Linked DNA regions of Elephas maximus indicus. The protein of the gene in region 2 interacts with the protein of the main gene of each other region in a pairwise test. Links are inferred from orthologs where the notes say so. Each region holds a gene or a part of one and is shown on either strand. Other genes may lie near its edges.

Region 1 (7,239 bases), on a different chromosome or scaffold from region 2:
CTTCCCCCAATTGTGAATTTATCCCTACTCCAAGGTCAGCAGAATGCCTCAGGGCGCTTAATAGGGCCTATCTCAGGCCAAAGGAAATCAACAGCCACTGAAGCCGACTTGGGGGCTGGGAGCACGTTAAAATATACGCAAGTACCTAGCTTTCGCCGAGAGCACCGTTCCTCTCTGGTTCCGGAGATGTGGGCATGCCGTGCAGCTGGCTGCTTCTCCCTGAGGAAACCACGGCCTAACGCTACCACCAGCCTGCCGCAGCCACTCCTGGGAGTGGTGCCTGGGGGTTCCCGGCAATTCAGGTGCGGCAACTCCTCTCCGCTTATGAACTGTCTCTCCCGTCCCCTGCAGCTCAGTCTATTTTCTAACACCGCCTTGGACGTTCAGGGCTCCTTGCTTGTCATAAATATAATCGTTTCACTTGTTTTTTTGGGTCTTTGTTGTAAGAGAAATCGCAGGAAGCACCTGGCTATTCTACCATCTTGGCCGCGCCTCCTATCTTAGTTTTAAAAATCCAAAGCAAATTCAAGAAAATAACTTATCAGCTCTGGGTGGTGGAAAGGTGGGTGTTCACGAGATGCTTCAGCCAAACTCCATCCCTGCTGAGCTTTCAGCCTGTGAAATGGAGCCGCACGGATAGATTACAGCACTAACGTGTGGGGAACTCTTACAACTGCACACCTGGCCTGCAGGAAGCACCAGCTGGAAGTGCTCGCCCTCATCATCCTCCTAGGACAGCACATATAGACTCCGTGGTGAAAGCCTCCAGGAGGACTGAGGTGGGAAGCCTGTTCCTGCTCCTGTTTGCTGATTACACAGGTTCGTCCAGTGGGAAAACCCACTGAGGAAATTTATGATTTACACACTGTTCTGTACACACGTCATATTTCAATAAACACTGCAGAGAAAAAGGAAGGAGAACTTTGCCAAATAAGATTCTGGGCCCAAAAAGAATCTATAAGTCGATAACACAGTCAAAGAACGAGGATTAGTCACCGTGTCTGCTGGCTATAAAGAGGAGTTATCGACTGGAAGTGTCAGTAAATGTCCCTTTCAAAAACAGTAAAAAGGAAAAATAAAGTTAGATATTTTAGTAAAAAAGATATCATGGCGACAACCGTGGAAATCTGAGCGTGACTCAGGTATTACTGCTACATCTGTGAGGTATTATAACTACGTGATGTTTTTTATTTTACTCACGTCTGTGTCTGTTAGAGACGTATCCTAAAATACTCGCAGATGAAAAAAACAGTAACTCTTAGAATACGCCTTAAAGTATTCAAACTGGGGAAAACGAACAAAACTGGCAGAACGCTGACAACTGATGAAGCTGGACGACAAGGTAGGGGCAGCATGATCTTACCCTCTCTAATTCTGCGCGTGTTTGAAATTTTTCTTAATATAAGTAAATCGTAAAGGTTTCATTCTGGACAATACTGCTCCTGATGCGCTAGAAGCCTATTCTTTTCAACATAAGCTCTTCTGTCCTTCCCCCCAGTAAAACTGAAGTAGATATCTAACTGTGGACACTTCTGTGGGAAGCTACTGCTTCACAGAGCTCTCTCCTTGTCAGCCACTCTGCTGGGTCACGGAGGACAAAACTCCACCGCACAGACAGAGCCAGCTGGGATCCTGCCGCTCTCCGCATGTCCCTTACACCCTAACTGCTGGGGCACCAGAACAGAGGGCTTTACCTGCAGTTCTCCTTGAAGCGGCACTTCCCCTCCAGGAAGAATGGGCAGGGCTTCAGGGACTTGTGTGTGGGGTAGAGGTACAGCACCCGGACAGCAGCCGAGCCATCCTCTGCCTGTTCCGTGCCCACAATCATGGCATTGTGGTACTCCAGGGTGCCCCATGGGCTGTAGTAGGGGGCGTTCACCTTTGTCCCACTCAACTCTTCCTCCTCGTCATCCCCCCCTTCTTCTTCCTCTTGCCCAGGGTTGTTGGGTTCAGGCCCTGCCTCTCCTTTAGAAACAGTCTCCAATTCTGCTCCTGGGGCTTCTGGTACCTCAACTACCTCAGAGATGGTCTTCTGCAAAGCCAGGTACTCAGTATCCTCCTGGGCCAGGTGTTCTTGGTCCAGTGTAGCCAACAGTTTGCTCTTCCTGACAGACACCAAGCTGGCTTCAGTGAGCTTGATCAGCTCCTTCAGGTCTCCCTGCAGCTGGTGCAGGTCAGCCTGCTCCGATGCCTCCAGGCCAGTACCCATGGCCAGCTCCACTTGCTGAAGCTGCACATGGTAGGTCTGCAAGGCCATCTCCAAGCTGTCCTCATCCATCCTGCCGTCGAGGACACGGAGGTGTGTCCCTAGGTCCTCAGAGAGGAGGCTGCCGGAGCCAGAGCTGCAATGAGAAGGCAAATGAGCCCCGAAGTCTGCTGCCCTCATCCCGACACCACCCTGTAAGGCTGAAGCTGACTGAGCACCGGTTTGGCCGTGCTCTGTGCAGAGCCTTACTCACACGGTCTCAAGAAACTCTCAGACAGGCCGTGAAACAGCTCGGCGATTTCTCCCGTTGAAGGATGAGAATGCCGACAAGGGGGAGAACCAGCAAGGAATCCCATCCGATGGCCCCACAACCTCGTTTCCGCCGACGAAGAGCTACGCTTCCCTCCCAAGGCCTCCCTGGGATCATGCGTCGGGCTTGACCGGGGTTCTCCGTGTCCTGTCTGAGCTCGGGGCTCCCTGGTAGGCGACCAGAGAAGCCCGCGTCAGCTCCCCTCAGTCCGGCCCGCGACCCTCGGCCCAGTCAGCCCTCGGAGCCGGCCTCAACTCCCCCTGGGCCGCCCTGAGTACCCTTCGGGCCGACTCCGTTCTCCCGGGTCCACGCCCACCTCCGCGCCACCTCTCACCTCAGGCTCAGGCCCCGTCCCCTCAGAGCACGGTCCCCCCATCGCCCCGCGCGGTTACCCAGCAGCCGCCATAGAGCACCGCCCGCCTCACCGGCTAGAGCGGTCGGGCGACCCTCCTTCCGCCCTCGCACCTACCACCACTTCCGCCCTCGCGCCGCCGCCGCCGGAAGTGCGCGGCGCAGAGGCCGCCGGGAAGCGGTGCGCGGGGGCCGCCGGGAGCGGGTCTGGGTGGCCGAGGCGTCCCAGCAGGCGCAGCGCGGGGTCAGGTGCGGGTCGGGCGGCGGCTCGAGGCCCGCGGACAGGTAGGTCGCGCGTCCCGGCCGCCCCTCCCGCCGGCGTGAGGGCCAGGGGCAAGGCCATGGCAGTTCGCTGTTCTTGACAGGAACTCGGAACTCAGGGTCTGCGTGGGCGGCGGGGCTTTGGGCGCCGGGAGCCTCCGCCTCGGACGCCCGGGCCGGCCTTTCGCGGCCACCGCCGCCTCCAGGGGTGCTGCCCTGCGAGATCGACCCCAGCGGCTGCCGCAGCCCCGGCCCTGTGGCTTGTCTCCAAAGAACGGACGTCCCTTTCTCGTAGCCTCCTGTGGCTCCTGGCGAGTGCTGGCTCGAGGTGGGCGAGCAGGCCTGCGCCCTGGCACAGCCGGAACTTAAAGAGCTTTCGGTTGCCCAGGCTGAGTGGGAGCGACCGTGTTCCAGGACCCGCGTGTGAGAAAGCTGAGCTTGAGCGGAGTGCGGCCTGGTGGCCGGGCGCTCAGCGCCCGAGGGCGTGTGCCTGCGCGTTCGCACACGTGGCTGGGGTCCTCCGCGTACCGGGAGGGCGAATCAGGGATGGGACAAGAGTCCACATACGTCCTGAAAGGCCACAGTCGTTGTTGTGAGCGGAGTGACCTGGAGAGGCCAGGGCTAGGACTGAGGAACTCCGTGAGTGGTCCTGGGAAGGCTGTTGGCCACCAGGTGGTGGCAGTGGAGAAGGAGGAAGCAGGCCAGTTTGGGAGAAGTGGAGGCAGAGTCAGGAAGCTTGCTGAAGAGGTGGTGGAGCAGGGGTCAAGAGTGGCCCCTGGGGTCCTGGTCTGAGCAGTTGGCAGGACAGACCACGGATGGGGTGCTGTGTCCCAGCTGTGGAAGCTGGTGGGCAGTGAGGTGTGGGTTGGGCCACCCCTGACTGATTTGGGCGTCTCAAGGCAGGATGTACACGCTGCTGTCGGGCCTGTACAAGTACGTGTTCCAGAAGGACGAATACTGCATCCTCATCCTGGGCCTGGACAATGCCGGAAAGACGGTGCGTGCTGGGGCCCTTTTGGTTTTAGGCCTTCAGCTGCACACTGACCACCGAGACAGATGTTGAACCCCTTTTGAGGCCACAGGAAGGTCACCCCCCAGTTCCTCTCACATTGATCTGCCTTCTCAGGAGTGGGCCCAAGAAGGGACATATGGGAGGCAAACTTGGAAATTGGCTCTGCCTGCTGGCTGATGGTGTCTTCCCTCCTCAGACTTTCCTGGAGCAGTCAAAAACCCGGTTTAACAAGCATTACAAAGGGATGAGCCTGTCCAAGATCACCACCACCGTGGGCCTGAACAGTAAGTTGGGCCTTCAGGCTGCTCGTGTGGGGTGCTGAGCCCTGGGACGCTGCAGGGCCCCTCACGTGCCTGTGGGCAGCCTGCTCTTCTGAAACACAAGTGTGGGGGAGGTGGGAGATTCAGAGGAACAGGGTCACAGCCTTGTGCTCTCCTTCCCCAGTCGGCACTGTGGATGTGGGGAAAGCACGCCTCATGTTTTGGGACCTAGGGGGGCAGGAGGAGCTGCAGTCACTGTGGGACAAGGTGAGCTGCCGTGGGAAAGCGTGTGAGTGTGTGTGTGTGTGAGTGTGTCTCTGTATGTGTAGAGAGCTTGGGCCCCGCCACCCCACCTCTCCAGGCACCACCTGCCGCCACCCCTTTCCTCTCCGGACAGTGCCCCTTGTTCTCAACCGCCCTCAGGACCTGACTCAGCCTCTTTCCATCTCGTTAGCAGCTGCTTCATCCACTTTGTTCCTGAGGTTTCTCTTCCTGATCCTACCTCAGGCTGCCTAGTTGCTTCCCCAGAAGCAAGGAAGTCCTTGGTTGTTCTTAGCTTAAAAATTTTGTTGCTAATGATCACGAGACATGGACAAGTGACAGCCGAGGACTCAGTGCGGGCAAGTTGCAGAGGCTCTGTGGTGCTTAGCTGGTGGCCACTTCCAAGTCTCTTCTGATGGGTTTGAGCGTCTCCTCCCTCAACTTGGGCTTCAGTCAGCAAGACCTGTTTTTGCATGGTGGTTTCTTCTCTTCAGGGGGACGGCTTCCTCAGAGGTGGACAGCAATGCCTTCTCTTTTGACGTGGGTTTTGGGCACTTTGGAGGTCTCAGCATGGGGCTCTTCTGCCCCTACACCCCAAGACAACCCACACGGGATAGAGTTGGTCTTCAGCTCAGCCGTGTGCCTGCAGTGAGCAGACAGACCAGCCCCTCCCACAGAGAGCCCCTCTTCTCAGATTGGTGTGGGGCAGGACGCAGAGGTCCCCGCCCTGATACCTGCCAGTTGCCTCTGTGTGGGACCAAGTGCCGAGTGCTGGTTTCTCACCCCAGCAACAGGCATCCAGCAGTGTTCCTCCTGCCTGGCTTCAGCTGAGAGAGCGGCTGTCTTGCCAGCCAGAAGCTCTTGGCGTGCTCCGTGTGACCACCGGCACTGGCCGGAGGCTCTTGGCGTGCTCCGTGTGACCACCGGCACTGGCCGGAGGCTCTTGGCGTGCTCCGTGTGACCACCGGCACTGGCCGGAGGCTCTTGGCCTGCTCCGTGTGACCACCGGCACTGGCCGGAGGCTCTTGGCCTGCTCCGTGTGACCACCGGCACTGGCCGGAGGCTCTTGGCCTGCTCCGTGTGACCACCGGCACTGGCCGGAGGCTCTTGGCCTGCTCCGTGTGACCACCGGCACTGGCCGGAGGCTCTTGGCCTGCTCCGTGTGACCACCGGCACTGGCCGGAGGCTCTTGGCCTGCTCTCTGTGACCACCGGCACTGGCCGGAAGCCCTTGGCCTGGTTTTTGTGACCACCAGCACTGGCTGGAAGTTCTGGGCCTGCTCTCTCTGACCACTGGCACTGGCCAGAGGCTGACCGAGCCCAGGGCTCTCCTTATCAGAACACCAGACGCACATGGGAAGTAGAATAGGCCACATGGGATACATTTCCTTGTCACAGGCCAGGTTCTCAAGCAGACACAGACTGGGGCGCGGGGTGTTTATTGAAGATCAATACCTGGGAATAGAGCGGGGAAGATGCAGCCGTGGGTAAAGTGAGAAGTCATGCTTCAGTGCAGGTCCGGGAAGGTGTGGTCTGGCAGGCTGGCCCTTTGCAGATCCTGGAGAGCTGAGAGTAGGGCTTTCTGCAGGCACTCTGTCTGTGGCCGGCAGTGGCTGTGCTGCCTGGGCCACTGTGCACACGTGAGGTGGCTCCTCTGGGGTCCCAGCGGTCTTTCCTCATTTTCCGTCTGCTGACCTTCTGGGGCCTTATTGTGCTCAGCTGCCATGTCCGCTGGCCCCAGTGGCTTACCTGGCAGAATGACCCAGAGTCCGCAGCAAGCCCTGGGCACCGAGCCTTCCCCATGTGCAGTCCTGGGGTGGGGCACCCAGTCCCGCATGTGTTCCCCCAGCGCTGTGGACTGCAGCCCTGCCTCCTGCAGCTGGGCTCAGTTACCTCTACACGAGGCGTCTCCTTTTGGTAACTGGGGTCCCTGGACACAAGCCCAAAGTGGTGCAGCCAGAGTTTGTAGTTGACTTGCCTTGCCGTGTCCTCTAGTGAGAGTGCCCTTTAGGGACCCAGGCCTCAGGGTGGAGGGCCAGTGGCACCGGCCCCAGCATATCACTGGAAGGGGAGGGCCAACCCCCTGCTTCCTCCCCGGTTCCCAGACCTGTGTGTCCTTGAGGGAGAGGGGAGGTATGCACCACCTGAAGGTACTTCCTGCAGGAACTCCACGTGAAGGTCCGTGATCAGTGAGTCTGCTGTGTTCTGGAGCTTGTACCGTAGCAGAGGGCGGTGCCTAGGTGTGAGCACATATAACGAGTGGCTAGCTGCCAGTCATAGTCTAGCTGGTACCTCCTTTTCTGGGGAGTCCCAGTCTAATGTGATGTGACAACATCCGTACTGGTGTTTGACCCGGTGAGCCCTCAGTGCTGCTGGAGAGTGTCCTTGGGCAGGGAAGACAGACTTACACGCAGTACACACGTCTGCAGGAGAGTGGGAGAGGCCCAGTGTAGTCAGCCTGCCGGCATGGGCCCAAAGGCTCCTAGAGCAGTGACACCCCACCAGAGCTCCACACTGTTCTCTACTACTGCAGGGTGTGTGGTTGGCAGCAGTTTTCTCAACCTTGTCAGCCACTGTGG
Region 2 (7,416 bases):
AGAGTTTCCAAGGAGCGCCTGGTGGATTCCAACTGCCAACCTTTTGGTTCACAGCTGCAGCACTGAACCACTACGCCACTACCTAGTGCTCCCCAAAATCCCAACTCCTCAGCCCAGGATGCAGGGCCCTGTATAGTCATGGCTCCTGGCCCTCTTCAGCCAATACCTCCCACCACACCTGCTTCATGGCCCACCTAGGTCAGTGCCGTGTTGTGGTCAAGGACTCCAGTACCAGTTGCCATTCCGTTGACCCCGACTGCTGGCAACCCCCCGTGTTGCAGAGTAGAACAATGCTCGATAGGGTATTCTTGGCTGTGACTTTGCGGAAGAAGATCACTAGGACTTTCTTCCGAGGTGACCTGGGGTGGTTCTGAACTGCCAACGTTTTGGTTAGTAGCCAAGCGCTTAGCTGTTTGCGTTACCCAGGGAGCTCATAGGTTTAAATCCTGGCCCTGCCACCTACCAGCTGTGTGACTTTGGGCAAATCTCTTAACCTGTCTCTGCCTTGGTTTTCCGATCTCTAAAATGGGCATGATGGCAGTATCTAAGCATTCAAGCACTTAAGACAGACCCTGGCGTGTAATAAAAATGCATACATATGTTGGTTGGGGTATTATTTTTCATAGTTTGGGCCACACTTCCGGGCTTTTCTATATACTTGAAAACCCCTTTCTTCTGAAAATTACTTCTTCAAAATTCCCCTTCTTCAAAGGCAAACTGTGGGTCCCTCTCTAAGGCCCAGCCCTCGGGGCTGGGTATGTCTGTGTCTGGCTAGAGGCTCCTAAGATGGGAGTGTGCCCTGGTACTGGCAGGTGCCTGCCTAGATGAAGATCAGATTCAGGTGGTTTCCCAGGAGAAAGGGGTCCAGTCCCTATGGCAGGGCTGGAGGAGGGGGCCAGCTTCCTCTGCTGTGACCTGGAAGTCACCCAGGGCCCCGAGCTCAGGAAGACCCCTTAAAACTGTCTTTCTGAGCTCACCATCTTAAGGTCCCTGGATAGCGCAAACGGTTTCTGTTTGAATCTACCCAGTGGGGCCACAGAAGAAAGGCCTGGCAACCTGCTTCCACAAAGATGACAGCCAAGAAAACCCTACAAAGCAGTTCTACCCCGTAACACGCAGGGTTGCCATGAGTCAGAATGGACTCGTCGGCAATGGATTTGGCTTTTGGTTTTTATCACTGTCTTGAAATTCTTGATGTTTTTCAGCAAGAGGTCCTGCATTTTCATTTAGCCCTGGGCCCAGCAAATTCTGTAGCTAGCCCTCACCAGTATGATTTATGGGTCTGCTTATTCCAGAACCCCACAAGAATATGGAAGAATTTGACAAAAGTTCACTCGGTTTCTCTTAAGGCGTCAGTACTAGGGCAGGAGTGCACTTTACGTGACTCCAATCTTTTCTCACCCCGATCTGGGCTCCCTCAGAGCCTTCTTTAAAATGCTGACACTTTGTCCATCCCAGATTTCTTTGCATTTTTAAAAAATATTGCATTAAAATATTATTTATCTTGACTTTTGAGGTTTTTGTTTTGGAGTTTGGGGGGGTGTCCCCTTCAATTTTGCCCACTCATGTCACTCTAGTCCCAGTCCCTTAACTGCCAGAAAGGAGATGGGTTCTGATGCTCCATTTTACAGATGGGAACACTCAAGGCCCAAAGGAGTTACATTCACAGCGGAGGACGCCTACATAGATGATGATGACAGTTAACGGACCCTGTCTTTAGCGTTTTCCAGGAGCCAATCTGAAGATACGTGGGTGGTGCAGATGGTTTCCAATCAACCCTGCTGGTGGAGTGCTTAAGAGCTCACCTGCAAACCAGAAGGTCGGCAGTTCGAATCCACCACCCACTCCTTAGAAACCCTATGGGGCAGTTCTACTCTGTCCAATAGGGTCACTACAAGTTGAAATCCACTCAACGGCAATGGGTGAACCAACTGAAAGGTTGACGGTTTGGAGCTCACCCAGTCACACTGAGGAAGAAAGGCCTGGCAATCTACTTCCGTAAAGATGACAGCCAAGAAAACGTTACAGTGCTCAGTTCTAAGTCTGTAACACATGAGGTCACCATGAAGTGGAATTGACCTGATGGCTTAGGGGCTGATGTTAACGCGCACGTCATTTCAGCAGCCTCTTCAGGGTCTGTTCATGCGGTAGCCGGAGTTGTTGTTGTTGGCAGGTGCCATTGAGTCCGTTCCGACTCAGAGCGACCCTATGTACCACAGAAGGAAACACTGCCCGGTCCTGCGCCATCCTTACAATCCTTGTTATGCCTGAGCCCATTGTCACAGCCACTGTGTCAATCCACCTCATTGACGGTCTTCCTCTCTTCCGCTGACCTTGTACTTTACCAAGCATGATGTCCTCCTCCAGGGACTGGTCTCTCCTGATAACATGTCCAAAGTATGTAAGACGCAGTCTCGCCATCCTTGTTTCTAAGGAGCATTCTGGTTGTACTTCTTCCAAGACAGATTTGTTCGCTCTTTTAGCAGTCCGTGGTATATTCAATATTCTTCGCCAACACCACAATTCAAAGGCATCAATTCTTCTTCAGTCTTCCTCCTTCATTGTCCAGCTTTCACACGCATATGATACGGTATTCATAAGGTTTTCACTGGCTAATTATTTTCAAAAGTAGACTGCCAGGTCCTTCTTCCTAGTGTCTTAGTCTGGAAGCTCAGCTGAAACCTGTCCTCCATGGGTGACCCTGCTGGTAGCTGAATACCGGTGGCATAGCTTCCAGCATCACAGCAATATGCAAGCCCCCCCGCCCTGCCCACGGTACAACAAACTGACAAACACTAGGGGGGCAGCCGGAGGGATACTGTCAAAACCCAAGTCAGGGAGTCAGGGCCCCTCCCTCCCTTTCTCCTCTGCTTACAGCCCTCCAAAGAGTCCCACCTCCCTCAGGGTCAAAGCCCGAGTCCTCCCCACACTCGTGAGGCCCTGTATCATCTACCTCCCTGCCCTCACCTCCCTCTATGATCCACTACAGTTTGCGGGGCCCAATGCCCTGGTGACTCAGTGGTTAAGCACTCAGTCCGTAGTTGGAACCTACCAGCGGCTCTCAGGGAGAAAGACGTGGCAGTCTGCTTCCATTAAGATTACAGCTTAGAAACCCTATGGGGCAGTTCTACTCTGTGCTATAGGGTCGCTATGAGTCAGAATCGACTTGCCAGCAATAGGTTTGGTTTCTTTTTGTTTTTGTTTTTTTGGAATGCAAATCAAAACTGCAGATCACCTTGTTAAAAAAATCAATAATTTTAAAACGGTCACAACTAAGCATTAAACCAACCCTGGCCCTTTTAGGTATAATGTCTTGGCTACTGGGTGATGCTGGTACTCATCGCTTCCCAGGCTCCCCGTGTGCCAGGCACAGTCCTGCCTCAGGGCCTTTGCACTGGCCATTCCTGCCTCCTTGAGCACGTGCCACCTCTATGCCCCTATTGGCTCCCTCCGTCATTTTCTTCTGGTCTTTCTCAAATGTCCCCTTCTCAGGGCAGCCCTCTCTGACCCCCCTGTTTAATACTGCACCCCTTTATGTCCACCTGACGCCTCAGGGTTGTGGCCTCAGGATTTGTTTCTTTTCTGTCACATGTCATCTCCACAAGGGCATCTGGACCCCACCCCACCGCCTGGAGCAGGGCATGGCACACAGTTGGTGTGTGCCGTGGAGTCGATTTACGACTCATGGTGACCCCATGTGACAGAGTAGAACTGCCCCATAGGGTTTCCTAGGCTGGAATCTGTAGGGAAGTGGATAACCATGCCTTTCTCCCTCAGAGCAGATGGGTAGGTTCCAACCTCCCACCTTTAACCGTTGCCACTAGGGCTCCTGGCCACACAGTAGGCGCTCCATAAATGCTCACTGAAGCAACGACTCTTCTGAGGGCCGCAGGTTCCCACTTGCCTTTCCACAGCTGAGGAAACTGAGGCTCAGAGACACCAGCCACCGTGCCAAGGTCACGGAGCATGTGGGTGGCACGCGTCCAGGGCGCGCCATTATAGGGCCTGCGGTGTAGACCAGGGCAGCCTGGCCCCTTCCTCTGACAGTTGGGGAAACCGAGGCCCGGCGAGCCGCCACGGCCAAGGGGCCAGGAGGGGGCCGGGGGCTGAGGCCCAGAGCAAGGTCACGGCCCGGGCGGCGGCGGGGGTGGGGCGCCGCAGGGCTCCCCGGGCGCGCGCCCCCCCCTCGGCGGCGCGCACGGGGCAGCGGCGGCGGCGGCGGCGGCAGCAGGTGGAGCCGGAGCCTTCGCAGCAGCAGCCCGGCCGCGGCCACTCCGGCGGCGCCGCCATTAGACAATAGGAGCGGCGGGTGCGGGCGCGAGCGGGGCGGGGCGGGCCGCGCAGGAAGCGGGCCCGGGGCGCGGCGGGCCGGGCGGGGGCGCAGGAAGCGGCGAGCCGGGCGCGCGAGGCGGCGGCGGCGGCCCGGGAGCGGCCGATCGGCGCCGGGACAAAGGCGCGGCGCCCGGCGCCCCGAGCAGCCCGAGCCGGGGCGCACAGCCGGGGCGCAGCCCGCGCCCCCCGCCGCGACTGACATGATGTTTCCACAAAGCAGGCATTCGGTAAGCGGGGCCCGCCCGGCCCGCCGCGGCCCCCTCCGGCTCCTGGCCTGCACCCCCCAGCTCCTGGGTCTACACCCCCCCCCCACCTCCAGGCCTGCACCCCCCCAGCTCCCGGACCTGGCACCCCCAGCTCCAGGCCCTACACTCCCCCACAACCCCGACTTCCTGGGCCCAGTTTCCCCCAGCTCCTGGGCCCAGCGCCCCAAACCCTAGCTCCCAGCGCGCTGCGCCCCTACTCCAGGCCTGATACCCTCAGCTTCCGGGTCCTGGTCCCCCCCCAAGTTCCCGGGCCCGGCGTTCCCCCCCAGTTCCTAGCCTGGTGCACCCTCCCCAGTTCCCCGGCCCAGCCCCCCCCAGCTTCCGGGCCGGGCCCCCCCACACTTTCCCAGTCCAATCTCCCGAAGCTCCCCAGTCCTGTACCCCCTTTCCTGTACCTCTCCAGCTCCGGGCCCCCCCCTTCCCAGCCAGGCCGGTCCGTAGGCGGTCTTGGCCTGGTCCTGGGAGCTCCGGGAACCCTGCTGGTCACCCCTTGCTCTGGGGCTGCTTGGGGGGCCTGGAGTGGGGGGGGCAATCCTCCCGGAAGAGCGTGGCCTTGGGGAAGGACTCTGGGGACCTGGAGTGTGGACCCCTGAAATATTATGGTTGCTGGGAGACGCCCCTCCCCCAAGGGGACTTTGCAGTGAGGCCTCGGCCCTCCAGGTGGTTGGGGCGCTCCGATGCGCACCCCCTTCTCTGGGCGCTTTGGAGGGGTGGTAGGGGGCGCATCCTGCCCCCCATCAAGGGCAGGCTTTAAAACGCGCCCCCACAGCCTCGGGGGTGGCGGGGGACGGGCGGCTCCAGGCCCACCCACCCCCTCGGCTTCCCCCGGGAGAGGCGGGGGCAGGAAGCGGGGGCGGCAGCCGCGCCAGAGGCTGTAAACATGGGCCCAGGAAGTGGGGCACGAGGGGGGACGCTGCAGCTGCGGCGGCAGCCGCCCCCTGGTCACCCCGGGGAAGGAGGAGGCAGCCCAGCCTGCCTGGCCCTGAATTGCGGCCCCCTCCTCACAGGGCTCGTCGCACCTCCCCCAGCAACTCAAATTCACCACCTCTGACTCCTGCGATCGTATCAAAGACGAGTTTCAGCTCCTGCAGGCCCAGTACCACAGGTGAGCCAGGGGTTGGGGGTTATCTGGAATGGAGATTGCCACCCCCATACATCTACTTTAAAAATATGGAAATAGAGGGTCATATGTATGCCAGCTTCTAGCCTAAACACGTGGCTAGTAAAAACCAAACCTAAATCTGTCCGTTGGATTCAGACTGGTAGTGACCCTATAGGACAGAGTAGAACTGCCCCATAGGGTTTCTAAGGAGCTGCTGATGGATTCGAACTGCTGACCTTGTGGTTAGCAAGCCCAGCTCTTAAACATTGCACCACCTGGACTCCACTTGGCCAGCAGTAACATTTATTCTTCAAATTGACCCTATTTCACAGATGAGAAAAGCGAGGCACAAGAAAGTTAAATGACTTACCCAAAAACAGGTCTGTCTGGCGTCAGAGCCCTCCCCCAGTCCTCAGTAGGTAAAAGACCTCCAAGTCCAAGAAGGACCCTCCGAGTCCAAGATACCCCCCCAAATTTTTTTTTGCAGTCTTCTCTTTCTCTGCCGTTTTGGGGAGAAGGCTCCTGGCAGATTCTCAAAGGAGGGTCTGCCTCCTGAATTGAGTCTTCTAACATTTCTGAAGGGCTTGCCATGTGTCAGGTTTAAGCAGAAGGAACTGTTATTGACCTTGTTTTCTACATCAGGAAACGAAGGCTCAGAGAGGTTAGAGATTGCCTCAGGGTAGACAGCAAGGAAGTGATGAAGCTTAGATTTGAACCCAGTCTCTCCAGGGCTAAGAATGCAAGTTCTCAACCCTTTTGCTATGGAGGGGTCCTCACCTGGGAATTAGAAGTGGGTCCCATGGCCAGAAATCCTAGTGGGGCTGAGACTTTCTCTGGACCTGTTTTCCCACCCACAAAAATGGTCTTCAAAGGATCCTGGGTTTTCTGCAAGAAGAAAGGGGAATAGCGATTTATTTTTATTTTAACAAATATGCAATCTTTTTGTTCACTCATTCTTGCAGTCCTATTACTGTACCCATTTTAGAGATGAGGGAACTGAGGCACAGGGAGTTGAAAGGTCTGAAGCAGCTCGCCAGACAGGCCCCAGGGACTTTGCATTAGTCCTGCCATGTGGAGGGTTTGGGGGCTTCACCTGACCTAGGCCCACCTCATGGTCATCAATCCCAGAGGCCGAGGGCCAGAGGGCAGGCCAGACCCCCTCTGTCAGCTTTGGGTTCTCCATCTACTGGGCCTGAATGTCCTGCTCTACTTTGGGGGGTTCTGCCATGTCAGGGTCACACACAGGATCAACCAGACAGAATGAGGCCTTCCTCAAGAAGGGCCAGAGACCCAGCGTTTCGAGTAAGATTGCTTTTTTTAAACTGCCAACGAACGCACGTTTTTAAAGAAAATAAACTTTGTGGGGGGCAAAGAAACTCCAGCTGTGGATCACCTCTGAACTGTGGGATGTTGTGACCTGGTCAGCCTGGTAAGATCCGTGAGCACTTATTGAGTGCTTACTGTATGCCAGGCCGTGTTATCCAAGCTTTACTGTCTTAATTTATTGAATCTGTACAACCCCACCCTGGGAGGTTGGTACTTAACAGAGGAGGAAACCGAGGCTCAGAGAGGGAGAGGAATTTGCTCAGGGCCACAGAGCATGGAAGGGCTGAGCTATGAACCCAGTCCTTCTGGCTGTGGTATGATGGGAGTGGCTGAGGTGGGTATGGAGGGACAGCCAGTCCGTGGGGACCCCCTACTTGCTTCGGTCTAAAT
Region 3 (7,468 bases), on a different chromosome or scaffold from region 2:
TTTTCCAAAACCAACTTCTTCCTATTCTCTATGCCCTTCTATTTTGACCCTGGGAGTCTTAATCTGAAGTCACTCCAAGGAGCCTCAATTCGGAACACAAGCTCTCTTCTGTGGTTCGCAGTGTCTTCTGGGTGGTCAGTGCCAGTCTGAGTCCAGACCTCTGTCACCCCCTTGCAGGAAGTGACATCTAAGAGGTTACCCACTGTCTCTGGGCCTCAGTTCCCTTACCTTTTAACAAGGAGAGAATAATAATACGTGACTTGCCAAGTTCTCCAAGTTGTCTGAGGTGAGGTCACATAAAAAAAAAGTGTTCTCAATAGCAAAAAATGCTATAAAAATACATGCCAGGACAGAGCACAGGAGTCAACTGGAAACTCCCAGTGGCCAAAGCTGGAATAACTTCAGCAACAAAATAAATGACATAGTATTAGATGATAAACCAAAGTATCAAATAAATATTCATGAGTCCGTATTGATACAAATAAATGACTGAATAAATTAATAAATGGGAGAGGAAAGGTAGCTTTCTCCTGCAGCATCTAAGTGATTTATGTAGATACTCTGCTCTCAGGAGGGGCAGCATAATTCCCCACTGTTTAGGTGTGGTGTGAGCTTCACATAATAACTTCCTTCTTACAGTATGGAAGGGGGGGGGTGGGGAAACACTTCTTCTGCCAGGTGTTCAAGGTTAACATCAGCATGAGAAGTGATGTTGATAATGTTCACCTTTGATATGATGTGGTGAGAAGGGTACTCTTACCAGTAACCCATAACCCCAGTCTTACCATGAGAAAAACATCAGGCAAATTCTAATAGTGGGGCATCCTACAATATACCTGACCAACAGGAAAACTAAACCAAACCTGTCACCATTGAGTCAAGTTTGACTCTTGGCGATCCCCTATGTATCAGTGTAGAACTGCCCCACAGGGTTTTCTTGGCTTTAATCTTTATGGAAACAGATCGCCAGGCCTTCCTTCTGTGGCCCTGCCAGGTGGATTTGAACCACCAACCTTTTGGTTAGTAACCAAACCCGCTGCCCTTGAGCCGATTCTGGCTCAAGCACAAACCATTTGTGCCACCCTCAAAACTGTCAAGATCATCAAAAACAAATAGAATCTGAAAAACTGCCACAGCTAAGAGGGGTGTAAGGAGACGTGACAACTAAATTTAATGTGGATCATGAATGGGATCATGAAACTGACAAAGGATATTTGATAAAAAGTAAGGAAGTGTGAATAAACTACAAACCCGCTGCCGTCCAGTCGATTCCTACTTATAGAGACCCTATAGGACAGAGTAGAACAGCTCCATAACATTTCCAAGGAGTGCCTGGTGGATCTGAACTGCCGACCTTTGGGTTAGCAGCCTTAGCTCTTAACCACTACACCACCAGGGTTTCCAAGTAAACTACACACATCAGTTAATAATGCTGCATCAATATTGGTTCATTAATTGCAACAAATGTACCACACTAATGTAAGATGTTAAAAACAGGAGAAACTGGGTATGGGAAAATTGTGGGATAATATCTGGGAACTCTGTACTATCTTCTCAATTTTCCTGATACTCTAAAAAGTAAAGTCTATTTTTCAAAAACGATCCCCTTAGACTAGGAAGGAAAAAAAAAATGGAACTAGGGATTATGATCTTAATTAACAGCCATGAGGCTTAGGCACGGTGCCTGACACTGATATTTGCTGCATGGGCGACACTCTCCCCTCTTTTGATGCACACACTAATTGCTGCGGTGTCAAAATCTGGAGTGTAGTGGGAACTTGGGGAAGTGCTTACCTCCCATGTGCCCTACATAGGAAAATTTACACACTCGGAATCGACTCGATGGCGGGTGGGTTTGGTTTTTTTTTTTTTTTTTTGGTCTTAAAGCCAAACACAGAGAAAATCAGCGGGAGTGCTCACGGGCTGGAGAAGGAATGAATGCACAGCTCCAGGCAGATCTGGCCAAACCGGTTTATTCTGACTGAAAAAAAAAAAAAAAAAAAAATGCAAAGACACCACGACTTCAGAGTTAGAGGAGCCCGGTTGGCCGTCTATCTCTCAGGCTCCAAGCAACCAGACCGTCATCCCGGCCCCGCTTACTTCTGGCTCCAGAGACAGCACGGATCGGAGCCTGAGTTGGACATGGAAAGACAAGGGAGACCCAAGAGGAAGTGGCGAACTGAGGGTAATAGAGGGAAAAGCAGTAGGAGGGATTAGGCTTGGAGGGTGCGCGCGGCGGACTCCACCCACCTCCGAGCTTGCCCGGCAGCCCGGCCCGGTCCTGCCCCCGAGGCCCGGCGTCCGCGTCCGGTCGCCCCAAACTCCGGGGCGCGTGTCTGAGACTGTTGTGTTGTTGCATTTCTCATCGGAAGCCCCCTACTTACCGGTCCGGGGCTTCGGGCCACGAACGCGGGTCTAAGATCGCTTCTCTCCAGCGGCAGTGTGTTCCGGGACCGGGTGCTCTGCCAGCAGCCAGGGCAACAGCGCCTCCCCGCCCCGCAATCTCCGGCCTCTCCAGGGCACCCGGGCGAGATTTCTCCCGGGCCTGCCCCAGGATTGGTCCCTGCCGAGCCGCGCCAACCAATCGGAACCTGAATTTCCTCTACGTCACGATCACCGGTCGTATACCCGGGATTGTGAGGGGTGTGGGGCAGCGGTGGCCAAAAAATGAAACTGAAATTCGCCGAGACGTGGCTGAGCAAAAACCGCCGCCAGAGTTCGGCGTGTGTTTCGGGCTCCCTTGTTACAGGCGAAAGGGACCCGAGTTCTGAGGCCTAGTGGGCCCGATGAATCCCCGGTGGAGGACTCTAGGGTGCAAGAATCTCCCCCTTCTCCTGAGACCCTCGCCTTCCGATTCCGGCCTGGGGCTGAATGAGTGCGAAGTGGCGCTCGCCGGGTGCTGAACATGAGATCCGACTCTTGGCCCCCAACGCCGCATAAACTGGCCTCCCGGACCAGGCAGGAGCACAGCAAGCGAATTTCCTCAGGGGGCTGTTTATAAAAATTAACTACCATTTATGGAGCGCCTACGCTGAGTAACGCGCTTTTTTTTTTTTTTTTTATATCCTTAAATAAAGCAGGCATTGTCATCCCCACTCGACAGAAGCGAAAACTGAGGTTCCGAGAGCTTGGGAGTAGACCTGTTTCCGCGCTGAATTCTGAAACTACAGAGCCGGACTCGGGTTCCCAGAGTCCTCCATGGGGAAATTTTCACCAGGTTCGGCGCGTCCCAGCCGCCCTCGGCCCCGGAAACAGACCACGCGCAATCGTCCCTGCTGCCCAGTCTGCGCCTGCTTCCTGCTTTGTCTGCTGCCGCGGCACACAGTTCCGTTGCTGGGCCACCAGGTGCTGCTGGTTCCCAGGCACCACGGCATAAAAATCCGTCAGTCTCCACTGCGCGCAGCTACGAGCTGGGTGGGAAGGTTCTCGGGGTCAGCCAGTGCCCTGCCCTAAAGGTTGGACTGGAGAGGGGTGGGGCACAGGTCGCGATTTTGGTTCCTAATCCGTCCCTTGGCGCTCCCCCCCGCCCCGCCCCGCAGCCTGGGCTTGGGTGAGAAGAGGGTTGCAGCTATGTATGGGGAAGGTGTTCATGATGGGGTGAGCTCAGGGCCGTAAATCCTATTACTTGCCTGGCTTGTCCCTCCCCTGTGGGGCTGGCGAAATTTGTAGGAATTACTCTGGGTTTAAGGAGTTAAGTCCCTGGGTGGTGCAACCAGTTAAGGCGCTTGGCTGCTAACTGAAAGGTTGTAGGTTCAAGTCCACCCAAAGGTGCCTTGGAAGAAAGACCTGATCTATTTACAAAAAATAAGCAGTTGAAACCCCTGTATAGCCCAGTACTACTCTGACACACGTGCAGTCACTATCTTAGGCCGGGCTCTCTAGAGAATCAAAACTGGTGAAGGTATCTGTATTGTCTACCTATAAAACCAAAACACCAAACCCTTTGCAGTTGAGTAGATTTATCTCAAGTAAATGGCTTACTCGGTTACATTTCTTGTCCTTGTTATATATATCTTAGAGTATAACCCTTTAAGTGACAAAAATGATCACACTTATTGCTAGAATCAGATATACCAGAAAAAACCAAACCCAGTGCCATCAAGTGGATTCCGACTCATAGCGACCCTACAGGACAGAGGAGAACTGCCCCATAGATTTTCCAAGGAGCACCTGGTGGATTTGAACTGCCGACCCTTTGGCTAGCAGCTGTAGCACTTAACCACTACACCATCAGGGTTTCCAGAATCAAATATATGTTTGCTTAAATAGTCTATATTTCAATTCAAATATTTACCATTTCCTACATTTTTTTTTCAATCTAAACTTAGATTTTATTGACTTTTTTGTTTGTTTGTTTGGAAATAAAATGTCTTCATTCCACTATCTCATTTCTGGTGTGTCTCATTGTGATTTCTATCTTTTGGCTTCTTAGAATTCCTCTACAATAGAACTTGTTTAGAGTTCTTTTGTGATACAGATCCACCCAATTTCTGGTAACTGTAGTAAGACAGCATTTTTCTTATTTTCTTTTGTCTTAAAAGGACTTCATCTAGTTGGGAGGTGTCCTTCAAAAGCTTTTCTGGGGCCTAGGAGGCCTGATCCTGCCCCACCCTCCTTATCTTTTGGTTCATGGTCAAAGACAAGAATTAGTCACCCGAATTCATTTATATATGTTTAATTTGGCTGTTTTAGGCATCTAATGTTGCTATAACAGAAATACCACAAGTGGATGGCTTCAACAAACAAGTTCATTGTCTCACAGTCTAGTAGGCTAGAAGTCCAAATTCAGGGTGTCAGCTGCAGGAGGAGGCTCTCTCTGTTGGCTCTGGAGAAAGGTCCTTGTCATCAATCTTCCCCCAGACTAGGTGCTTCTCTACACAGGAACCCTGGGTTCAAAGGACATGTTCTGCTCTCGGTGCTTCTTTCTTGGTGGTATGAGGTCCCCAACTCTCTGCTTGCATATTTTTGAAGCTTAAAGACTCAGATTCTTTCATAACAACCATACAAAACCTGCTTTCCTTCTTTCTGAACTGAATTCATTCTGCTGGCTAGCGACCTAGTCTCTTAGTCCTAAAACATGCTAGTCTCTTCAGTTGGAAAATACCCCAAAGTGGCCACTAATTTTCCAAACTGTCCCAAATGAGGTTATGCCAGCCAGACAAGAACTTGCATTGTTAAGGGACCAAAATGCTTGTTCATATAGTGAAGAGGAGTCTCAGAAGGTGGCTCTAATCTCCTTTAAATATGGCATTCCCGGTTTTATAATGACAACCAAACCAAATGTTTACTTGCAAGAACCAAACCGAATCCACAATAAAACTTGAAGAGCTATGGAGTGGAGCTCCAACTGAAAAGGTTGTTTTTTTTTTTTAATTTATTTTTGCTTTAAACAATTCCTGAGGATTTGCGGAAGCATAGAGCCCAAAACAGCTCAGTGGTACATTGTCCATGTTTCTGATGCTCCAGGGACCAGGAAAAATAATAACACCTTCGAAATTCCACTTCTGACACTAAAAATGTTGAAGAGCAAAATTCTTAACTCTGTAAGGAGTAGAAAGGAGTGAGTTTTACTGAGGAATAGTACAACTTGAGTCGGGCAGCACCAAGTAAAAGTACAAGATGTTCCAAAGTTCACAAAGGAATGCACTGTTTTTATGCAAGAAAGAGTGTGGCTGCAACCACAAACAGACCTGTCTTTATATCACTTAATCTCTTTTCAAATGTATTCTTCTTGAGAGCAAGCATTTTTCAGGAACAATCTGAGCACATTTTGTGAAATCATAGTTAAATAACCGTAACCACATTTGTTTGCAAAATAAGATTGATTTACCCAAAAGTGGTACTCATGCTTTCAAGCAGCAGCAGGGGTTTAAAACAAAATGGAGTCCAATCCAGACCTGTGTCAGCTATTTTTAGTTATGTCAAGCGCCTCAGTTTTAGAGTGCTCTTTCTTAAGGGGAATTTTCAAACCTATACAAAAGTAGACAGAAAATCATGAACCAACATATTCCCATGACTTAGCTTCAACAATTACCAACATTTTTCTCACTATGTTTCATCTATTCTCTCTTCCCATTTCTTTTTTTAACTGGAGTATTCGACTTGGCGGCACTGGGGTTTTTTTTTGGGGGGGGGGAGTATTTTAAAACAAATCACAGACACAGTATCACTTCATCTGTAAATACTTTTGTGTGCATTCTAACAGATAAAGACTGCTTACCTATACAAAATGATATTATCACTCCAAAATTATATAATTTTCAATAATATTATATCATTTAATAAACCAAATTAGTTGCCAGTTATTCCAGCTCAGGCGACCCCATGTGTTTCACAGTAGAACTGCACTCCATAGAGTTTACATGACTCTGACCTTTAAAATCAAATTTGCCAGGTCTTTTTTTTCAAGGTGCCTGTGGTGGGTTTGAACTGTCAACCTTTCAATTAGCAGCCAAGCCCTTAACTTTGTACATCCAGAGACTTCTAATATCATTTAATATGCTGTCAACTCGATTCCAACTCATGGCAATCCATATGTTACAGAGTAGAACTGCTCCATAGGGTTTTCTTGACTAATCTTTACAGAAGCAGATTGCGAGAACTTTTTCTTCTGCAGCACCACCGAGTGGGCTCGAACCACCAATCTTTAGGTGGGTAGCCAAGCGCAAACCATTTGTGCCACCCAGGGTCCTTACCATTTAATAAACCAAACAACAACAACAAAACCATTGTCATCGAGTCAATTCCAACTCACAGTGACATAGGACAGAGTAGAACTGCCCTATTGGATTTCCAAAGAGCAGCTGGTGGATTCGAATTGCTGAACTTTTGGTTAGCAGCCAAACAATTTAATACTCAGTCCATATTCAAATTCCTCTGTTTTCTGAAAGATCTTTTTACAGCTGCGTTTTTCGAATCCTGATCTAAACAAGGTCTCAACTAGTAAGAAGGAAAAAAAAAAAAATCAAAACATGGAAATAGACAAAATAATGACTGTCCTTTCTGTGTGACACTGGAGCATTTTCTAACAGGTCTACCCAATAATTACCTAATTCTCTTGGGATATGTGCCTTTGCTTTGACTTACTACAGGTAGTCCCTGACTTACCACTTGGTTACATTCTGATGACTCTGTTGTAAGTCGGTTCTGATGTAAGACGGACAAGTACCTCATTTTTTTCTTTTTTTAGTTTTCATTATCACTGCCTTTTATTATCAGTATCTTTATGTAAAAACGGTGTGGGAGTGGTGCCTGACCTCCTCTAACTTCACAAGGGGGAAGGAGAACTGTTATCAGCAACAACCGGCCAAGGCTGATTCCAATGAGGCAGAGGTCAGGCATACCTTCTCTCGATAACCTTCTTACCAATTCTGACACCAACTGTCCCTCCCATGGCACACAGAACTCCTAGACCATACTCACATTTTTCGAGTTTATTAGGGAAGTAACAGGTTACAATTCAGGTTCA
Region 4 (7,911 bases), on a different chromosome or scaffold from region 2:
ACCCTGAAGCCAAAATTTGCAAACCAACCGGCAAGTATCTGGGTGAAACAAAATGACAACGTTCAAATTGCTTGAATACCAGCTTGTTCAGATTCATAAATTCCAAGATAAGGTCATAGTAACAGTAACTCCCCAGAGATTCACGCCATCTGACTGTACTGGCAACTCTGCCTAGTTTACAAACTCTGATCTTTGCCCAGACCACCCTCCGAGGGTATCATATTAAACCACACCCCCCCCCCAGCCTTAAGGATCCTCTCTGTCTCCCCCCTTCGACACATTTCTGAGACTGTCAAGGTGATGTTCTTCCCCCTTGCTCAGCAAATGCAATAAATCAGCTTTATTTACTTATGACAAACAGATTTCTCTCGTGGTCTGGTGTGTACATGGTGGTGACTTTTACAACTGGAAAATAGAAAACAGGCGGAATTTGCAGAACTGAGGAAACAGTCAACATAAACGAACAAATTTCTATTGAAGTTAAGAAGAATTTCGTGAATAGGTCGGTAAACAGGATGTTAACGTTAGGGTGTTTCAAAGTAAAGGAAAATTTCACATTTGTGGGAGGAACATGAAGGCTGGAATGTGTGTAGCAACATTTCACAAAAGATCAACTCTTAAAATTGAGAGCATATGCTGAGGATGAGGGTCTCAGATTAAACAGAGCATGTCTTCCCTGATCGGAAACTGAAACCTGGCCGAGGCCGTGAAAGCGTCTAACCTCTAAATCATCTAGAAAAGTGGTCTCAACTCCCCCTGCTATGGCTTTGATATTCAAGAATACCTCCTGGGGCAGCCCTTATTTCCCTAGCCTTGGGAAGCCACGCCCCATGGCAGCGAATCCACAACTCTTCCGTTCCTTCGGAGCTATTCCCCACTACCCGGGCGGATGCAGTAAACAGAAGTTGCCTTATACTTGTTGAACATAGATGGAAGAATGGATACGTAGATGGCAGCAGGCGGAGCCGTGACCCAGGGTGAAGAGCCCCAAGAGTTGGTCGGCTGATACCCACCAGTTACTCGTTCACCTATGGTCAGCAAAGCCCTACGGCTGTGGGTTTTCCAACTCGAGGTCTTCTAGTCAGTACCTGGGCGACCTCCTGTCTGGCCAAGCTTCGGCGAACACCGCCAGTCCACGATGCCAAAGCCCACTCAGTCTCCCTCCGACTCTTCTTTGGCACAAAAATTCCTTAGCCATTTTCATTTTCAAAAGAGAATACACGCCCAATGTGGGGCTCAAATCCGTGAGTTCACGAGTCTCGTGCCCTACCGACTGAGATAGTCTGACAACATCCGCAACCCTTTTTCTTCGGCCTCAGGAAACCGGGATACACAGCAGGCGTGCGGACACACTTCAAGGAGTTTTGCAGAATTAATTGCACAAGAATTCATGGATCACTTACTGTGCGCCTGGCTGCGCCCTAGACACAAAGGTCCGGGGATCCGAAGCCTACAACCTACAGCCCTTATCCGGAGGAGGTGGCGGCCCAGGCTTCCGAAGGCAAGAGTAGTAAAAAAAAAAAAATTTTTTTTAGCTGAATTGACATTGTGAACATTTATGATCTGGTGTGAGCCCAGCTCTGCTGTGATCGCGCTTTACTGTTTCCCTGAAACACAGATTAGATACACACATCTGTCTGTATATGCCTCCATGTGACAGCACCCTCCCCCTATCTCGAGCCGCAGACGAGATAACCGTGAAGACGTGGGCATCGAAATGAAAAATAGACCAGAAAAGGCTGTTTCCGCCCGGTTTCGAACCGGGGACTTTTCGCGTGTGAGGCGAACGTGATAGCCACTACACTACAAAAACACAGATTATCAGCACATCCTTAATACAATCCTCAAACTACACGTGGCAGAGAATGGCAGCTCTAAGTGCGACTGCAATCCGCAAAGGCGCGTCGCACTGCCACTCCGCAGTGTTCAAGTCCCGTGGCCTGACTTCTAGCGCTAAAGCCAGTGCGTCTGGGCGGGCGCCCGCTCAGCTCACATCTGCGCGCACTCTGCGAACCGCCGGGTTCGTGGCTTTTCGCGCCTTGGGTCAGCCGCTCAGAGTCCCCGGACCACCCACTTCGGAACCTCCTGTTCTTCTGGAGTTCCTCACGAGGCGAAAAGTGTCTCCAAAAAAAAAGGGGTAAACTCTGGATGTGGTGCCCTGGTACCGCTCAGCATTTGGCACTCGCTGGCAATTCTGCACATACATTACCCATTGCCATTCAGTCCATTCCGACTCATAGCGACCCCAGAGGACAGAGTAGAACTGTCCGATAAGGTTTCCAAGGCTGTAACGTTTTGTGGAAGGAGTCCTGGTGGTGCAGTGGTTAAGCGCTCGGCTGCTAACCGGAGTTCGAACCAACCAGCAGGTCAGTGGGAGAAAAGAGGTGGCAGTGCCCTTCTGTAAAGATTACAGCCTTGGAAACTCCACGGGGCAGTTCTACTCCGTCCTATAGGGTGATTCGCATTTTTTAAAAAATCTTTACTGGAGGTTATTGCCACATCTTTCTGTCTCAGAGCTGACCTTTCGGTTAGGAGCCGAGCACTTAACAACTGCACCACCGGGAACATTATGGGCAGGAACTTGGCTCACAGGTTTTTGTTATTGCTGTTAATTACAAGAAGTTTAAACAAAGCATCTAGAACTACTGCTATCACACATGAAATCCACTTAGTAGTGATGTTGGGTACCACAGCGGCATCTTTACTACTACAATTCCACAGCCTGGACAGAATTGCCTCAAGTAAAATCAATTCCACAAACCCAGTCCGAGGCCCTGTTCGTAGACGAGGGCACCAAGAAGACAAACCTTGAGGCTTTCTGTGAGCAGAATATGTGTGGTGCACAGCTCGGAAAGTATTAGTTGAATTAATCGATGGCATTTAGAAAGTTTTGTATTTTCATTTTTTTAAGGTAATGCATTCACTTGGTTCAAAATTCAAAGAAGACAGAAAGATACAGGGAAAGTGTCTTTCCTACTCGTGACCCTTGGCCATTCCGTTGCCTTCTCAGCAGAACTCGGCTGCCAGTATCTTTGCAGAGACATTGATGAAAAGGATAAGTAATGCGTAGCTAATGTATCTCGCTTACTATGTGCTTAGCACTGTTCTGTCGGTTTACATATTTGCTCTGATTCTCACAAACCTCTGAGGTAGGTACTATTATCCTCATTTTGCATGAGTAAACTGAAGCGCAGGAATGTGCAAATATCAAATACATCTTTGAAACATATTCCTCTTTTTTACAGATGAGGACATACTCTACACACTGTGCAGTAAGTCCCGAGATTACTGATGTCAGACTTATGGACAACTGGTACCTGCCCTTTATGTAAATTTGTCTTTACTTTTAAATGATTGAACCAACTGCTTGCTACTTGCAACAAATTTTTCATCACAATCACCTTCACTTGCTGCACAGGCAACTTTTAAATCACTGAAAAGGCATCGAGACTTTTCTTGCACTGAAGGCTAAATAAGAAACATATGCACCTGTTCCAGCTTACCTACGAGTTTGACTTAAAGGCACACTTTTGGAAGGAATCTCGTTCATAGCCCGGACATTGCCTGTATCTTGCTTTTTTCACTTAATAAATCTTGAAGATGGATTTGCATTTTACAGATAGTGTTCCACTGTGTGGATATACCAAAAGCCAGACCCATTGGGTAGAGTCGATTACCATTCAGCGTGACCCTATTGGTTAGAGCGGCCACAGGGTTTCCAAGGAGCAGCTGGTAGATTTGAACTGCCCACCTTTTGATTAGCAGTGGAGGTCTTAACCACTGCGACTCCAGAGCTCCTCGTGTGAAGATCTGTCACCATCCCTTTACGGATGGGAGTTAGGGAAGTTCACCTACAGGAGGCTACAGTGATCAGGCAACAATCTCTAAAATGGGCATGGAAGATGCTGACAAAATCGTTTTGATTCTCCTGAAATCCAGATTTCTGGGTTCATGGAAGTGGGGTGACCCACCCAGGCCATCAGCCCTTAGGTGTTCTTTTGAACCTTTAAAGAACTGGTTCCCTGGAGTCACCTTCAGGTCAAACGAGTTCAGTATGCCGCTTAGCAGAGACATTGGCCTTAGGCATTGTGCATTCAGCTTCGAAATGCAGAAGTTCCAGGGTCTGGCTAAAGGCTGTTTTAGAATATATGGCATGTCCTTGTTGACTGTTTCTGTAACCTGCCCTGTGCTTGATGTTATCTCTTGATAAATTAACATAACATTGACCTTTATAACCCGCTTTCACAGTCTCCTCTCGGAGAGTCTTCCCAACACGTTCGGGTGACCGCTGCCTGAGTGGAATAGTATCTACTCAATAAATATATTCCGTTACGCTAATTTTTCATGTTTCTGTAAACAATTGAGGTTTTTGACAAGGCCAACTATAGTGGTAGGGTGTCTCTGGCTCCGCCCCCTGATCCATCACCGAGGAAATCTGAGCGCTCGAACAACAAAGTCCTCCGCCTAGAAGGGCCGAAGCGCTGCAGAGCGCTCAAGGAAGCCCCGCCCCTCTGCTTCCGGCACCGGCAGCGCTGAGGCCCGGGTGTCATTTGTACTCGGCCGGTAGGGGGGCGCCCGGCCGATTCGGTCATGGCACCGAGAGCGGACAGCCGCCAAGTACTCCCACCGTTCTCCCAAGTTTCTCTCCAGTGACTGAGGAGGGGAAGGGCGGGGCTTTTGCTCTGCGTTCCGCACCCCGCCGCATCACAGAGATGTAGGGCTCCTATGTCCTATCCCTCCCGCCCTGTTCCCGAGTGCCCGCTAGAGCGTCTCCTCGCCGTTTCCTGTCGCCCAGGGACCGGGGAAGGGGGGGGAAACTCACGAGCCTGTCTGGCGCGTAGACGCCGGAAGTGTTGGGTGAGAAATCGGAAGTGAGGGGGCGGGGCCAGGAAGTGAGGAGGGGCGGGGGTTTATGAGGAGGCCAGGGAAGCGTTGGGGTGGATTTGCACTCAGGGCCACCTGAGGGAGTTGGCGATAGCGTTCAGCTTTTTCCCTTGCCCACGCAGAGACACGGTTGTCGTCTGGGAGTAGGGAGCTCTGTGTGGAGGGGTGGGTTGTCAGAAGAACATTTCTCAGGCGGCACTTGAAGCGAGCTGTGGAGAGGCAGGGCTGGGGGTGGGGCCGGGTCGCCAGGGCGTCTGAGAGGGAAGACCCCCCGCCCCCCTCCCCGCCCCCACCGTACATCTAAACTGGCTGACTGGACGCTAAGATGGCTGCCGTTGCCATGACACCCAACCCTGTGCAGACCCTTCAGGAGGAGGCGGTGTGCGCCATCTGCCTCGATTACTTCACGGACCCCGTGTCCATCGGCTGCGGGCACAACTTCTGCCGAGTGTGTGTAACCCAGTTGTGGGGCGGGGAGGATGAAGAGGACAGGGACGAGTTAGACCGGGAGGAGGAGGAGGAGGAGGACGGAGACGAGGAAGAAGTGGAGGCTGTGGGAGCCGGCGGGGGGTGGGACACCCCCATGCGGGACGAAGACTATGAGGGCGATATGGAGGAGGAGGTCGAGGAGGAAGAAGAGGGAGTGTTCTGGACCAATGGCATGGGCGGGTCTAACTGGGACAACATGGACTACGTGTGGGAGGAGGAGGACGAGGAGGAAGACCTGGACTACTACTTGGGGAACATGGAGGAGGACCTGAGGGGGGAGGATGAGGAGGACGAGGAGGAGGTACTGGAGGAGGATGAGGAAGAGGAGCTAGATCCCGTCACCCCACTGCCTCCGCCTCCTGCCCCTCGGAGGTGCTTCACTTGCCCCCAGTGCCGAAAGAGCTTTCCCCGGCGGAGCTTCCGTCCGAACTTGCAGCTAGCCAACATGGTCCAAGTGATTCGGCAGATGCACCCAGCCCCTGGTCGAGCGAGTCGTGGGAACGAGCAGGGCATCTGCCCCAAACACCAAGAAGCCCTGAAACTCTTCTGTGAAGTGGACGAAGAGGCCATCTGTGTAGTGTGCCGAGAATCCAGGAGCCACAAACAGCACAGCGTGGTGCCATTGGAGGAGGTGGTGCAGGAGTACAAGGTGAGAGAAGAGAGAAGATGGGAATTTAGTGGGGGTGGAGAGAAAGTAAGGGGAGCTGGGAAATGGAAGCGTCTTTCCCCCCCAAGAACCTCATGTACTGGTGAGCTGATTCTCCTTATGTGAGCATTTACTTACTGGCACCCAGGTGGGGTAGGGTCAGAAGGGTCCTGTACACCGACAAAGGAGATACAGCAAAGAAGACCAGCGAAGACTGGCCTCCTCAAAGGATATAAGGCAAAGCTGATGATGCCAGATTACTGGGCTGCATCTCCCGTAGAGCAGGCCACTACTGTTTCACTCTTCCACTGTCCCTAAGTGTAGGAGTGCAGGTGACAGGCCCCTAGTGCTTTAATACTAGTCTCCACTTCCTCTGGGTAAATCTTAAGCCTGTCTTTGACGGAGACCCCAAGAGATGGGGACTCTCAGAGAACAATAATTTGGGCTCTGAAGCAGAGCGTAAAAATGACAGGTGCCCCCCACTTGTCTCCTGACTGGAGTTCCCTACCCACCCCATGATTTGGTTTGGTTCTCCCCTTGAGAACTTTTGTAGGATCTGCAGCAGTCTGATATACTGACCAGAACTTCTTACTTTTTGTAACATACAGAAAAAAGAGAGAAGCTTTTTAAGTTAGATGACCTGGTTCTGCCACTTATTTGCCGTCAAGTGTTGGGCAAGTCTCTGAATCTTTTGAACTTTAATTTCTCCATGATTGCTGTTGTTGTTAGGTGCCATCAAGTCAGGATTAATAGTTAATATTTACTGGGTTTTTTAATTTATTTATCGAACACTTACTGTGTATACCAGGTACTCTACTAAACGCTTTTCCTGGACTTTCTTATTTAAAGCTTAAAAAACTGTGATTTTGGTATGTTTTCATTCCCGTTTTACAGATTGGGAGACAGAACCAGAAAGGTGTAATGTATACAGGACCACAGAGCTACTAATAAATGGATTTGGTTATGACTCCCCTGCCCCCCGATCCATTAGAAGCTGTTACCACCATTTGGATGTCTGTTGTTAGTTTGACATTTCTGACATGTGACCTTCCTCTTTGGAGACCGATTCTGGTTTGGGTAATATCTTGCCCCCTTCTTCTGATCTTGACTCTTCTTGGACATAGGTGAAGGAGATTTGTTTGTAAATACTACTAAGCCAAAGCCTGGATGGGTTGAAAGCAGCAGGACCAGGAGAAGGAGAGGGTGGCTACTTCTTTGTGGTCTGTGCGGTGCTGTTTTGCTCTGACTTGTGTTTTCACACCTTCTCCTGATTCCTACAGTCACCTCAAGTTAGGTTCGTTGTTGTTGTTATGTCAATTTTAGAGTAACATGTCTAGGGCTTCTCAGCTCTGAGTATGTACGGCTAAGACCTATATCCCTTTATCACTAACTATTCCTTTCAAGGAGTGATTGTCAAACCTGGCTAACTCTCATAATTCCTAGGGGAACTTTTCAAAAGTACAGTGGGTCCTACCATTAGAGATTCTGAATTGGTGTGGGGAGAATTCTTAGGAGAGCCCAGCCCAGTTTAGGAATCACTGCATTGGTTAACATCACCTGCCTTTTACCCGTGTATCCTTATGGGAGGTTATGAACACCCGTTGTCTTTTTATATCCCCTCAGTTCCTAGTTAACTGTACCAGTCACACAATGTGCAGTCACTCCGTTAACTGGAACCAGGGATAGACTCTCCGTGGGCATTCCACCTCCTTTCCTCCACTCTCCTGCAGGACTCCTCTAAGGACCTTCTGAAACTGGATTTTATTTGTATTGGTCACATCTACCAAATGCCAGCTGCCTGAAAATCCTGTTTTAGGCCCTGAAGGGAGTCCATGGGTGGTATAAACAGTTAAGCATTCAACTCTTAGCCTAAAGGTTGGTGGTTCGAACCC

What was found.
Region 1: the proteins of TLE5 (region 2) and ZGPAT interact in binary tests that used the Homo sapiens proteins (3 or more experiments, as listed by UniProt). The two-hybrid records come from large-scale screens. The link is inferred for Elephas maximus indicus from reciprocal best matches to the Homo sapiens genes TLE5 and ZGPAT.
Region 3: the proteins of TLE5 (region 2) and tripartite motif-containing protein 26 interact in binary tests that used the Homo sapiens proteins (3 or more experiments, as listed by UniProt). The two-hybrid records come from large-scale screens. The link is inferred for Elephas maximus indicus from reciprocal best matches to the Homo sapiens genes TLE5 and TRIM26.
Region 4: the proteins of TLE5 (region 2) and TRIM41 interact in binary tests that used the Homo sapiens proteins (3 or more experiments, as listed by UniProt). The two-hybrid records come from large-scale screens. The link is inferred for Elephas maximus indicus from reciprocal best matches to the Homo sapiens genes TLE5 and TRIM41.

What each region holds. Positions count from the first base shown.
Region 1 is NC_064843.1:4,354,530-4,361,768, forward strand, and holds the start of ZGPAT (zinc finger CCCH-type with G patch domain-containing protein), read right to left. Parts: upstream 3,014-7,239; 5' UTR 2,986-3,013; exon of another isoform or gene 2,942-2,985; intron 2,935-2,941; exon of another isoform or gene 2,851-2,934; intron 2,684-2,850; 5' UTR 2,563-2,683; coding exon 2,462-2,562; exon of another isoform or gene 2,460-2,461; intron 2,343-2,459; coding exon 1,695-2,342; intron 1-1,694. Other genes in the region: ARFRP1 (ADP-ribosylation factor-related protein 1), read left to right, coding at 4,033-4,125, 4,337-4,424, 4,585-4,667. UniProt on the Homo sapiens protein: Transcription repressor that specifically binds the 5'-GGAG[GA]A[GA]A-3' consensus sequence. Represses transcription by recruiting the chromatin multiprotein complex NuRD to target promoters.
Region 2 is NC_064821.1:6,146,859-6,154,274, reverse strand, and holds the start of TLE5 (TLE family member 5), read left to right. Parts: upstream 1-4,414; 5' UTR 4,415-4,532; coding exon 4,533-4,559; intron 4,560-5,605; coding exon 5,606-5,703; intron 5,704-7,416. UniProt on the Homo sapiens protein: Transcriptional corepressor. Acts as a dominant repressor towards other family members. Inhibits NF-kappa-B-regulated gene expression. May be required for the initiation and maintenance of the differentiated state.
Region 3 is NC_064819.1:89,895,518-89,902,985, forward strand, and holds the start of tripartite motif-containing protein 26, read right to left. Parts: upstream 3,007-7,468; 5' UTR 2,385-3,006; intron 1-2,384.
Region 4 is NC_064820.1:199,954,028-199,961,938, reverse strand, and holds the start of TRIM41 (E3 ubiquitin-protein ligase TRIM41), read left to right. Parts: upstream 1-4,909; 5' UTR 4,910-5,209; coding exon 5,210-6,022; intron 6,023-7,911.